Callithrix jacchus: one gene and its partners. The protein of the gene in region 2 purifies or fractionates together with the protein of the main gene of each other region. This does not show direct contact. Links are inferred from orthologs where the notes say so. Each region holds a gene or a part of one and is shown on either strand. Other genes may lie near its edges.

Region 1 (4,049 bases), on a different chromosome or scaffold from region 2:
GACCGGCCCCAATAAATCTGGATTTTTAATGTGTTATCTCCAAATTCTGAAACCTTGGCAACAAATGCAATTTTTAAGATTGTGGGTAGAGAAGACCGCATTCTATGGAAGCATAAAAGGAGGCCTGTGCTGGGCGCGGTGGTTTACGCCTGTAATCCCACCAGTATGGGAGGCTGAGGTGGGAGGACTGCTTGAGCCCGGAAGGTCTAGGTTGCAGTGAGCCATGATCGCGCCACTGCACTCCAGCCTGGGTGACAGAGCCAGACCCAGTGTTTAGGGAAAAAAAAAAAAAAAAAAAAGGAGGCCTGTAACAGAGACGCAACTCTCCAAAATGCCACACCGGCAAGTGGGGACCGCACAACCCAAGGTTTCGAGAAAGCTTCTCTTGGGAATGTAAAATACACTTACCCTAGGACTCCTAGTTTCTAAACCTCCTGATCCTAGAGGCCCAGAGGACCGACCAAGTGCAAAGCCCCCCCACACTGTTCTCAGCTCCTGCCGCACCGCACCCTCTATTCCCTGAGCGCCACGGTTCCTCCGCCTGCGGGACTTCGCCCTCGGTTACTTGTATGGCTTGCAAGGCCATTACCTGCCACTCCACCCTGTCTGGGCCCTGCCCGAGGCAAGCCTGGCTTCCAGCCCGCGCTCCCGAAGTCACGCGCAGACCCTCCTCCACGGCCCCATCGCACCCTCCCGAGATGCGTTGCTTAGGGTTGCGTCCCCCGCCGACACCCAGCACCGAGGGGCAGTCCCCGAGGCCACGCAGACCGCCCCCGCCCGCACGCAAAACCTCGCCCAGGGAACAGAAACCGCCACAGTCCCTGGCGGGTCAGGGTTAGTCACAAGGAACGAGGCGCGCATGCGCAGCGCGGGCTTTATTACGTCACTGCGAGTCCAGAACTCAAGGCTGGATCCTGAGCACGTCCCCGCTGGCGCCTGCGCGCTTGCGCATCTTCCTCTGTCGGGCGTGCGCTGCAGCAGCCGGAGTCACCTCGAGGTTGAGCTGCTTTTCCAGCAGGTGCATGCGCGCCGTGGTCTCAGTCAGCATATTCATGAGCACTTCCTGCTGCAGCTTCAGGTAGTTGCTCTCCTTCAGCAACACCTGGATCGTGGTCCACTGCTCCTGCGCCTTCCAGCCCGAGACGGTCGGCGCCAAGTGACCCTCCGTTGTCCACCGGCCGCCGCGGAACTCGAAGGCCTGGTTTTCGAGGCGTATGCGCGGCGCGCCGTAGCAGAGGCCCAGCTCGGCCTGGCGCTTGCTGTAATCCAGCAGGTAGGAGGTGGACAGGGAGGAGATGCGGCGCGCTGGCGGCCGCCGTGGCGAGAAGCGCCGCGAGATGTGATCGGCCCAAAACTGCCGCAGCTGCTCCCACACGTGGCTGGCATGGCTCGTAGTCAGGCACTCGAAGGTTGCCATGGCGAGTGCTGGGTGGACCTTGTAGGGCACGCAGGTGCTAGGAGGGGAGCCTCGGGAGTGCTGGCGACTCCCCAGCACTGGCTGCGCTCTTGCCTCGGGAACCTGGATGTCCAGAATGATGAAGGCGAGCCAGAGGGGCTGCTGGGAGGCAAGAGTATGAGTGAGCAGCTTGCTCAATACAGGCTGCCTATCAAACCTCGAGGCCGGTGGACATGGCTTAGCCCTGCAGCTAGGGTTGCGGCTGTGGCTAACCAGGTGCTGGCCACCGAGGAGCCCGTCCCTCCACGCTGCACAGGCAGCCGTCTCACCTAAATCACCTTACCCAAAGACCACTGAGTATCAGGCGCTGGGATAAATATGCAGATGAAGGACGCTAGGAGCGCCCTGTTCTCTTAGTTTCAGCTGGAAGGGTGAGGGGTAGGGAATGGTAGCAGAGACAAGTAGGTATTGAAAGGAGTAGGACTTTGCCAGGTGAGCTGAGGATGGAAAATGGAGAGCAGAAAGGCAGAGGGAAGAGCCAAGCAGGGTTGTTTGTTTATTTGTTTGTTTTTGTTTTTATAGACGTAGTTTCGCTCTTGTTGTCCTGGCTGGAGTGCAATGGCACGGTCTCTGCTCACTGCAACCTCTGCCTCCCAGGTTCAAACAATTCTCCTGCCCCAGCCTCCAGAGTAGCTGGGATTACAGGCACCCGCCACCATGCCTGGCTAATTTTTTTGGTATTTTTAGTAGAGATGGGGTTTCACCATGTTTGCCAGGCTGGTCTCGAACTCCTGACCTCAGGTGATCCGCCCACCTCTCCCTCCCAAAGTGCTGGGATTACAGGTGTGAGCCACCGCACCCGACAGGACTTTCATGTTTCAGATGTGAACACGAGCTTGGATAGGATTGGTGCTGAGAAGAGCAGAAGAGGAAGCTGGGAAGGTGGACCGGGGCACTATGTGAGGGTGCTGCACAGGCAGGCTCAGAAGCTTATACTTCTTTTTGTGTGTAAGAGGGAACTGCTGAAGGCTTACAAAGCTAGGGTTAGATCTGGATTCTGGAAACAATCTGGGAGGGTGTCTAGCATAGCCAACAGCATGATTGCCCTCATCATTCAGTCAACTAGCATATTCTCTGTGCCAGGTCCTGGTCTTGGAAGGAGGACCTGAAACAGCCTCTGCCTGCCCTCAAGATGCTCCTGATCCAGCTTGGAAGACAGATGCCTGTGTAGACCACGGTCCAGTGTGTTCACTGACATCCTAGGGTGTGTGCCATGGGCTAGAGCTATGCATAGGGCTCAAAGTAACAGACATGACAGATTGTGCACACTAGACATGACTTTTGTTCCAAACATATTATGTCCTAAGGGAATCCAAAGTCCAGATAACAGACAAGTCCCATTTTGCTCACTTCTCCCTGTACTCCCCTGCCCAGTAAGTGCTGATTCTATTATGTGAAAAAGGGAGCTATGTGTTTTTGTTTGTTTGTTTTTGTGATGGAGTCTCGCTCTGTAGCCCAGGTTGGAGTGCAGTGGCATGATCTCAGCTCACTGCCACCTCTACCTCCCGGGTTCAAGCAATTCTCCTACTTCAGCCTCCCTAGTAGCTGGGACTACCTGCACATGCCACCACGCCTGGCTAATTTTTTGTATTTTTAGTAGAGATGAGGTTTCACAGTGTTAGCCAGGATGGTCTCAATCTAACTTTGTGATCTGCCCGCCTTGGTCTCTCAAAGTGCTAGGATTACAGGCATGAGCCAACACACCTGGCCAAGGAGTTATATGTTGTTTTTAATTTCTCTTCTGCCCATGGACAGTGAGAAGAAAAAGAATTTGAGCAGGCTTCCCTCTTATACCTTCGTTAATTCATAACACACTTATCCCTCACGTATAGCTGGGCAGAGGCTGGATGGTACATGCCATCCCCAAGATGTGGTTTAGGGAGATGGTCTCTGGAAGTCCACATCTAGGCCCACCCTTGAGATTGCATCTTGTCAGAGGACCCTTCCCCATTAGTTCTCACTGTATGTTGTGCCTCACCTGGAAGATGTGGTGGAGTTGCTGAGCTCCTGTCCCAGGCCTGGCTCCGTCTCTGACCCACTCAGCTAGTGTCTACCTGCTATGACTCACAATGCCTCCAGGCCAGGCTATCCCAGGTCAGAAGGGTTGCTGAATGCTGAGCTGTCAGACAGACCCAGGGCTCTCTGCTGCATGCATTCAGTGCATCATTCATCACGTACTGTTTTCTAGGAACAATTCTAGGGAAGTGAAGAAGATATTGCCCTCATTAAGCTGTCATCCTTGGCAGGGGAATGAAGGGGGTGGTCATAAGCAGAGTCCAAGACAGGAATTTGTTCTAGAGGAACCAATAAGATAGTTTCTGAGGAAGCTAACAGAGGGTGTCATGGGTCAGGTTCCCTAGAAGCAGAGCCTAAGATGATCATTCTTGCTCGAGTGAATTATTGGGGAAGTGCTCTCAGGAGAAGAGGGTGAGGGAAGCAAGACAGGGCAGGGAAAAAGGCTAAGGCTGAGGCAGAGTGTGGTCTCACATAGAGACTAGCTTCCGCTTGCTGTCATGGAGAACTGTGAGCACAAATGGCATCACACTTAGGCCTCCTTAAGGCAAGGGAGCCAGTCTTTTGTATCCTTCTACAT
Region 2 (4,311 bases):
TCTCCAATCCGAGTTCCCCAGCTCAAACCCCATGGTGAATCCCTTCAACTCTCCAACCCTCCTTATGCCTAACCTCCCACCAATCCTTCCTTGCCACTAGGGGTGATGTCAGGTCTTATGGGGCCTGAAGCTTACACAACTGGGGGCAAGGGACGGTAATTCTTTAAGGGAAAAATACGCAATTATGAATGTAAAACTGCTGAGCCCCTTGCCAGGGTTTTGGAAGGTATTTGTGCAAGTAAAGCGTCTAGAGGCTTTATCATAAACCCAGATCTGCCTGTCACTCACCAGCCCCGTGTAACTTGCCCTGTCCACTTCTTCATTTCCACTCAAAGGCTGCCAAAATCAGATACAAAACTCTGTAGGACTCTGGAAATGCATATTTTCTAATCTGCGTTGGACCCTCATCATTACTCAGAAAACCTTTAATGCATTTCTTGCTGAATCCAAATTTTATATTCCCCAGTAACCTTTTCTATTAACCCTAAGTTCTCACATTCACTTCTGAATCCTCTCAGCAAAAAGAAACCAAACCAAAATGAAATAAATTTAAAAATACCCAAAAATTCATCTGAATATCAACTTCACACCAGTTCTGTGAGGTGAATATAATTATTGTTATTCCCATTTCACAGATAAGACAACTGAGTCAGAGATGAAGTAATATATCCAAGGTCACTAAATTATACACAGAAGAGCCAAGTTTTCTGGCCTCAAGCCCATTCTTCCTCTGCAATGCTTAGGAGCTGAACTAAATCAAACACACTGTGGTCACCTGGGGGCTGCCTGGGGGACCCTGGGACTGCTGATTTCTTAAAGAAGACTTTAGGCCACCTCAACCCCTGATTTGCTTTTTGTTTCAGAGGCATATTCTGGAGTAGGCCGCCCAGAGCATAGAATGAGGCTGTGTGGCTGAAGGAAGTTTCCCGTCCAGAAACAAGCAAAAATCACCGAAATTTACTGGTCCTGAAAAACAGCCTGCACGTTAAGGAATAAAGAAGGTGGGCAGATAGGGCAGGAGAAATTCAGGCACGACATATAGGAAGACTTACTGATAGAGAAAAACTTGGGATCCACTGCTCTACATTTACAGCTTAAAGAAAAAAGAAAAGCACAGGAACAAAACTAGTTTTTACCGACTTACAAGGTATGTTCTACAACTAGAGAAGACAGAGTAGTGTCATTCAATACAATTTAGAGTAGAATTCCATCTTGCCAATAAAGCACAAGGTACATTAAGAGGATTATTTTAAACATTCTGGATGTTTATTCAGCTTTAGGGTTCTGTAGTAAAGGTGAAGGGTGGTAAAGACAAGATTATGCAATAAAACAGCGAAATTCTGCTTTCTAAAAAAGAGAATATGATTACACAACACACCTGGGCAACAATGATCTCGTGTAAAATAAACACACAAAGGCAAAGAGCTGAGGTGGAGTCCTTTCCGGTTTTTTCGTTTTGTTTTGTTTTGTTTGTTTTTAAATAGAGACAGCCTCCACCAGGCTCTTGCCTGTAATTCCAGCACTATGGGAGGCCGAGGCAGGTGGATCACCTGAAGCCAGAAGTTCGAGAACAGCCTGGTCAGCATGGCGAAACCCCATCTCTACCAAAAATACAAAACTAAGCCGGGCATGGTGATGGGTGCCCATAACCCCAGCTACTCGGGAGACTGAGACAGGAGAATGGATTGAACCTGGAAGCCAAGATCGAGCCAATGCACTCCAGCCTGGGCGACAGAGCGAGACTCCGTCTCAAATAATAACAAAATAATAGAAACAGCCTCACACTCTGTCCCCCAGGCTGGAGTGCAACGGCGTGATCTCCGCTCACTGAAACCTTCTGCCCCTGGGTTCAAGCGATTCTCCCACCTCTGGGATAACAGGCGGGCCACAGCAGCCAGCCAAGTTTTTTAATAGAGACAGGGGTTCCGCCATGTTGCCCAGGCTGCTCTCCCCTGAGCTCAAGCGATCCTCCTGCCTCGGCCTCCAAAACCGCTGTGATTACCGGCGGAAGCCATCGCGACCGGCCCTTGTCGGGTCCTTTAATGTCCAGCTCTAGCGCAGGGCGGGGCGCGGAGGAGGGGGCCGGGCGCGGTGGACGAGGCTGCCCTGACCCCGCGCAGCCTCCTTGGGAGCCTCCGGACCGCTCGCGTGGAGGCGGCCGGTGCTGTGGGGGATACAGGCCGCGTCACGTATAGGCCCCGCGGGAAACCCAGCTGCAAGCCCCTCGCCCCTCGCTCCTCGCCGTTGAGCCCTGCCGCCCCTCTAAGCCCTTGCCCCTTGGCCCTCTCGCCCCTCCTCGCCCCAGCACCTACCTGCAACCCAAGTCTCTGCGGCCCTGCCACCCCAGGCCAGCACGCGCTGGTCCTACTGCGCTTGCGCGGGCGGAAGCACGGCCTAGGGGCGAGCGCAACGCTGCTGCCCCCTAGCGTCCACCTCCGACCGTGCACTGAAGCCGGAGCAAGCGCAGCGACGGTGCCAGCGCGCACCTACCCAGTCTCCCGCTCTGGTTTCTGCTTCCTGAACTTGCGAAGACGATTTTGCGTTGATCGACTATTGGTGCTAGGCCCGTGCAGAGAAGCTGTCAGATCTCGACGCACTGCGAGGCCTTGGGTTCCAAAGCGTAGTCCTCAGACCCGCGGCATCAGCAGGGGTCTTGCTGGGAAGGCGGATTCCCCACTCCGAGCCAGACCCGCTGTGCGGGGACCCAGACGCCTGAAGTTGGAGACTCGCTCTGTAAAGGAAACTGTGGGCTTAGCCCAGACGCTGTAAAGCTGAGCTACATCAAGCGCAGCAGACAAGACCTAGGCAAGCCTCCGCAGAGAAATAGGACTGGGCAAGGGCAGGGAATACAGCCAGCAGTGGCCGACCGGGAGCACCACACGCACTCGGGCGCTTGCTCCAGGGAACAGAGAGGGAGGCTTGCAGCGTCGAAGTAAGCCTGGGGTCATGGAATGTCTGGGTTGTGTAGATCGGAACTGTTAGCTGTTTCTACACTGACACACTGCGAAAGTTCAGAATCAAGACACTAACACTATGTAGGATAAAAGACGGAACCTGTACTAGCAACCCAAACAGTATTAAAGTACGAGCAACTTTTGCCTGTCACATGGACAAAGAGCAAAAGAAGAATGGTAACACCTCCTGTCATTAGAGTCTGAAAGTGTCCTTGCACTCATACAAGTGAGTGTAAATTGGAATTCCTCCTGCGGGCCCTAGCAAATCCCAGTTCTAGGAATTTATCCTTCAGAAATAATATGTCTGCAAGATGTATGAACAAGAGATGTTGCTGAAGCATTGTTGATAAGGGATATTTATACTAGAGAAAAAAAGAAACCTAAATATATAACAATAGGGGTGGGGCCGGGCGCGGTGGCTCAAGCCTGTAATCCCAGCAATTTGGGAGACCGAGGCGGGTGGATCAGGAGGTCAAGAGATCGAGATCATCCTGGTCAACGAGGTGAAACCCCGTCTCTACTAAAAATACAAAAATTAGCTGGGCATGGTGGTGCGCACCTGTAGTCCCAGCTACTCGGGAGGCTGAGGCAGGAGAATTGCTTGAACCCAGAAGGCGGAGGTTGCGGTGAGCCAAGATCGTGCCATTGCACTCCAGTCTGGGTAACAAACAGCAAAACTCCATCTCAAAAAAAAAATGCTGCTGTCTAACGGGTGCACAATTTAGTTTGAGAAGATGGTAAAGTCCTGGAGATGGATGGGGGTGATGGTTGCACAACAATGTGAATATACCTAATTCCACTGAACTGTACACTTCCAAATTGTTACGATGGTAAATTTTGTTATGTATCTTTTACTACAATGTTTACTACAATGTTTTTAAAGTTATGCTATATATATATATATATATATATATATATATATATATATATCCTGGAGAGGATATCCATAATATATGGCCAAGAGAGGAAGCAATCTTTTTTTTTAAATATGTATTTATAATCATATATATACACATATATATTCCAATGGTTACCTCCAATAAGTAGAATTTGGGGCAATTTAAATTCTCCGTTCTTGCTTATATGTATTTTTTAATGTTTAGGTAATAAATAGGTATTTCTCCATACATGTGTATATATGTGTGCGTGTAAATGAACCATGAACCTGCTAGCAGTATTAGACATGTATGATGACATATCTTAGAATGAAGGCATTTAGAAAGATCATCAAACAAATCTATTAAATTAATAAAAACTTTTTAAAATAAAGTAGGCCAGGCACAGTGGCTTACACCTGTAATCTCAGCACTTTGGGAGGCCGAGGCAGGTGGATCACTTGAGGTCAGGAGTTCAAAAC
Region 3 (4,480 bases), on a different chromosome or scaffold from region 2:
TAAACAAATTAAATCTCAAATCCTGAAAGCATTTGAATATATGTCCCTGAACAAGCAAAAATTATAACAAAAGTAACATTACAAGGTACTTTATATTATTTCATTTAAAATACCCAGTAACCCTGTAAAATAGTCAAGTATCATTATCAACATTTTACCAGTAAAGAAATTGAGACCTAGAGAAGTGGACTAGACCAGAACCACAAAGTTATGAAGTAGTGACGCTCGAGCTTTAAATCCAAGATTTTAGTGTTGAAATTCCCCAATCTTTCCTTTATATCTTGTCACGTGATTAACAGAGATAAGGAGGAAGCACTAACAGTATTCCCTGGCTTTCAGCTATTGATTCAGCAGGGCTACGGGACAGACGGTCTCCCCCAAACTCTCAGATACCCCACATCACACTAACCCAATGTTAAAGATCCAATTATTTGTGGGAAAAAAATGATCTAAATGCAACAAATCAATCAGATTTTTCTCTTTAGAGCCCAAGGTTGACTAAACATCATTACTATAACAGAGGATGACATTCTCAAAGAATGAATTCTAAGTTATGAACAAAAATCTTCTACATCAAAAGATAGTTTTACTTCAAATTATATGTAGTCGCACTAAGTACAGTACTGTTACATATTAATAGACCACCTTACACCATTATTTTGCCACATTTAAAACAGGAGCTCCACTTCTGAAAACTCTGCTAAAGGAAATAAGACAATTTCAACTATTACCTCTTCCAGTTCTTGTTACATAATGTTATATTTCAAAACATATCACTAAAAGTGCAACCTATCTAAATTCCAATAATGAACAAACCCAGCTCTGGTCTCAAAGCTGGTGTTAAAACAAACAAACAGCATTTACATCACACACTTCTTCTCCAAGAAATATAACCAGGCAACCAGAAATATCCCAAGTTACAGGTTTCCCCATGACTCTAACTAATCAGCTGGTTCTCATATGTCAACCCTATTAACCTTGTGTCTTAAAATATACACATATTCTTATGTCAAATATAGTTGTTTCTAACAGCTATAGCAAAACCCCTTTCAACTGAGAGTATAACATAATAAAATAAGTATATACTTATTAAACCTCTCCAGTACATAACACTCCATTGAATTTTCTGCCACAAAAATCTAATGAGCACTCCCTTTTCTGGGGTTTACATGTGGGGAAAGTTTGTAATATGCTTAGAGTATCAAGTATAATACAATATGCAAACACAATGCTGCACTACTACAGAGTAACTGAAGAACATACTTCTCAAAAAAAAGTCAATCATTCTCATCCAAAATACATGTACACGGTACACCCAAAAATATACACCTGTCATACATTATTAGTTACTATCGCGTTCTGTAAACTTAGTCTGTTTTGGAGGACTTAACAAAAGTTTAGCTTGTTAATACCTAAAAATCTCCAGACCAGCGGTCCCACGCCTGAAAAGAACTTATCATCAACACCAGTGAGAATTTTAACAAACCAAAACTACAAGCCACTGCATGAAGCAGTACTTAAATTCCTCTGCTGGTAAATGCTCCACAGCATCACAGCCATCTCAAGTTCAACACTAAGTAGTTAGAGGAGAGCTGCCTACGGGCCAGTCAAAAATCTTTGCGAACTGTCACAAAACAGAAGTCACAGAGCATGTGCCAGCTTTGCAGCCAATTCAAAACATCCTAGTACCATCGAACTCAGGCGATTCCCAGAGCAAATTATCTAGAATAGCCTATGCAATTTACCAAAATGCCAAGCAGTCCCCAGGAGTGTAGAGAAAATGATCATTTTGGTCCCAGGACCGGCTCCTCTTCACAAGAGGATGAATTTCCTACTTAGTGCCAACTGGACACTTGTATACTCCGAAAATAGGGGCAAGCCGTGTATACCAGAGGTTACAAGGGCAGTGTTTCTATTTTATTACGGGCTGAAGCTCAGAAGGTTCCCAATGCTGAAACGCTCGACCTATAACCCAAAAGTCACTTTCCAACTGCGCTCTCACCCAGGATCATTATATCCCAAACGGAAGCCAATTATTACCTGTAACAAGGCCTGGAAAAAACAGAGGACTTTAAAAGTTCACCTAAGAAACACCGAAACGGGGTGGGGGGTGGTGGATGTGGGGAGGACTTCGAGGGAGAGGGTCAACCTTAAAGCATCTCGGGCTCAAACATTTTAAAAGCCAAAATACGTACAAAGACCCCAGGCAGAGAGAGGCACACAGACACTCAGTCATCCCGACAGAATGGGGTGCCAGGGGTTCCGTAAGACCAGCCGTCGGGATCGAGGCTCCGATGTGTCCCGGGAAGGTCTGGGAAGCCAGGCCAGGTCCGCATTGTGGCCGGGCGGTGCGCGCAGCCCCTGCTCCCGGGCCCCTTTCTCTCTCCCCATCCCCACGACCAGGCCTCTCCCGGCTCCTCTCCCCTTCTCACTCCCTCTGTCCCTCCCCTCCCCCCCCCGACACACAAAACCAGGCCACCTCCCCCCGAACCCCACCAACTTTCCAGTGCCCCCACTCTTCCCACCTCTCAGGAGCACACAGAAGCTGCAGGCCAGGAGGCTCCTCAGGACGGCCCCCATCTTCCCTTCTCGCGTTCTCTTCTCTCACCGGCGAGGGGCGGCAAGAAGACGGGGAGGCGAGGAGCCGGGGCGGCCGCCGCAGCGGCAGGACTGCACGCTCATGCTTCCCAGCTTCCCACCGAGAGAAGAAAGAAAGGGGCACGTCAAGGCTCCGCGCGCGCCGCCGCCGCCCTCTCTACCGCGTCGCTCGGCCCCAGGCTCGCGCGACGCCAGCGTCTGCTTCCATCCCGCCGCCTCCTCCCCCGGCGCCCCGCTTCCCCCGCGCAGCTCCTCATTCAGCCTCTGCCTCGCGCAGCGGCGCAGGGATACGGCCGGCGCCGCCTCCAAGGTTCGGAACGAAGACGTGTCCCTGCGCACGGCGAGCCCCCTCCCCCGGCGCTGCCTCCTGCACGGCTGGGGAAAGGAGTCGGCAACCGCACGCACGGCCTCGGCGTAAGATTCCTGCAGAGGTGCTGGGGTAGCAGAGGCGAGCTGGCGAGGGAAGGCCTCCGGCCGGCGGCGCATTCCAGCGGGATTCTTTCCCGGACCGGCCGCTTCGGCCCTCCCCGCGGAGGGCGTGAGGCGGGACCGAACAACATTGGAGCCGGCGTGGTCGGGACTACTTTCTGCGGCTCTGCCAGGCAGCCGTCTGCTCCGGTCTTTGTGCGGCCGCCGTCGGCAGCGCCAGGTTGGGCTCCGGGCCCGCGCCCCCAGCCACCTGGGACGGCCCAGCCGCGGTGCACGCGAGGGGAGCCACGGCGGATCCCGTTGCGGCGAGATCAGCTCCGTCTTCGGGGTTGGAAACGGGTTTCAGCATCCTCTTTTTTGGGGCTGGAGTTCTTGAACGCTGGTTACACTGGCTTTCAACGTGGATCTGGTGAAGGATGTTAAAACGCCAATTCAAAACTGAGATTGTTATTTCTCTCCTGCCTTCCCAGAAGTACAAACTGGATTAAGCCCGACCAACACTAAAGATTTCTAAACTGACAAATAAAATTTCAGAATTAAGCCCGCCCAACACTAAAGATTTCTAAACTGACAAATAAAATTTCAAGATATATGCGTCAAAACCTAAGACAGAAAAAAGGGACAATTGGACAAAACTATTTAAGATTTCATAAGTTGCATATAATAACGAATGTTTGGCATGCTTTGATGATCAATTATCAGCTTGAGAAGGAAAGGATTCACCAATCTCAAGACTGTACACAGCCTCTGCCGCTCCCAATGCACTGGGCATTCAGGAATAATGGCCCAGACGCCTCCTGAAATCACCTGCCAGGCGTCAGTCTGGGCAGAGGCGCTCCAAGAATTAACCCTAATGAAGCCATCAGATGCATCCTGCCCAGCTGACACACGCCCTTACCTGGAGGCAGATGGGCAAGAAAGTGAAGCTGCTACCACAGTGTTACTGAAATACCCTAGCTTGGCTGTAATGAATACATTTTAAACAATCCTGCTAACTCCATTTTGCCCACCCTGAGCTATCTTGCCCACCCTGAGCTATGTAAGGCATTCTGTTCTGAAAGCTTGTGGTTTGAAACGCCTGGCATCTTTGTAACCAATTTTCTGAGAAACAGGGCCCACTGGCCTATACAACGGTGCAACTGCTACCCCATATCCTGAGTAAAAAACAACTTTAACCATGGAATATTATGCAGCAATCAGAAATGATGAGTTCGTGTCGTTTGTAGGGACATGGATGAATCTGGAGAACATCATCCTCAGCAAACTGACACAAGAACAGAAAATGAAACACCGCATATTCTCACTCATAGGTGGGTGATGAAAAATGAGAACACATGGACACAGGGAGGGGAGTACTAAACACTGGGGTCTATTGGGGGGAAAAGGGGAGGGCCAGTGGGAGGGGGAGGTGGGGAGGGATAGCCTGGGGAGAAATGCCAAATGTGGGTGAAGG

Evidence for each region.
Region 1: the proteins of POMK (region 2) and CANX purify together in Homo sapiens (affinity purification with mass spectrometry; 3 studies listed by BioGRID and IntAct, counting the BioPlex papers as one, with this or other methods). This does not show direct contact. The link is inferred for Callithrix jacchus from reciprocal best matches to the Homo sapiens genes POMK and CANX.
Region 3: the proteins of POMK (region 2) and LRP6 purify together in Homo sapiens (affinity purification with mass spectrometry; 3 studies listed by BioGRID and IntAct, counting the BioPlex papers as one, with this or other methods). This does not show direct contact. The link is inferred for Callithrix jacchus from reciprocal best matches to the Homo sapiens genes POMK and LRP6.

The regions. Positions count from the first base shown.
Region 1 is NC_133503.1:71,973,346-71,977,394, reverse strand, and holds the start of CANX (calnexin), read left to right. Parts: upstream 1-1,558; intron 1,559-1,613; coding exon of another isoform or gene 1,614-1,631; intron 1,632-2,539; 5' UTR 2,540-2,660; intron 2,661-4,049. Other genes in the region: CBY3 (sperm annulus positionning complex subunit Chibby3), read right to left, coding at 902-1,558, 1,614-1,631. UniProt on the Homo sapiens protein: Calcium-binding protein that interacts with newly synthesized monoglucosylated glycoproteins in the endoplasmic reticulum. It may act in assisting protein assembly and/or in the retention within the ER of unassembled protein subunits.
Region 2 is NC_133514.1:44,881,293-44,885,603, reverse strand, and holds the start of POMK (protein O-mannose kinase), read right to left. Parts: upstream 2,832-4,311; 5' UTR 2,491-2,831; intron 2,372-2,490; exon of another isoform or gene 2,313-2,371; intron 1-2,312. UniProt on the Homo sapiens protein: Protein O-mannose kinase that specifically mediates phosphorylation at the 6-position of an O-mannose of the trisaccharide (N-acetylgalactosamine (GalNAc)-beta-1,3-N-acetylglucosamine (GlcNAc)-beta-1,4-mannose) to generate phosphorylated O-mannosyl trisaccharide (N-acetylgalactosamine-beta-1,3-N-acetylglucosamine-beta-1,4-(phosphate-6-)mannose).
Region 3 is NC_133510.1:11,023,203-11,027,682, reverse strand, and holds the start of LRP6 (low-density lipoprotein receptor-related protein 6), read right to left. Parts: upstream 2,894-4,480; 5' UTR 2,581-2,893; coding exon 2,526-2,580; intron 1-2,525. UniProt on the Homo sapiens protein: Component of the Wnt-Fzd-LRP5-LRP6 complex that triggers beta-catenin signaling through inducing aggregation of receptor-ligand complexes into ribosome-sized signalosomes.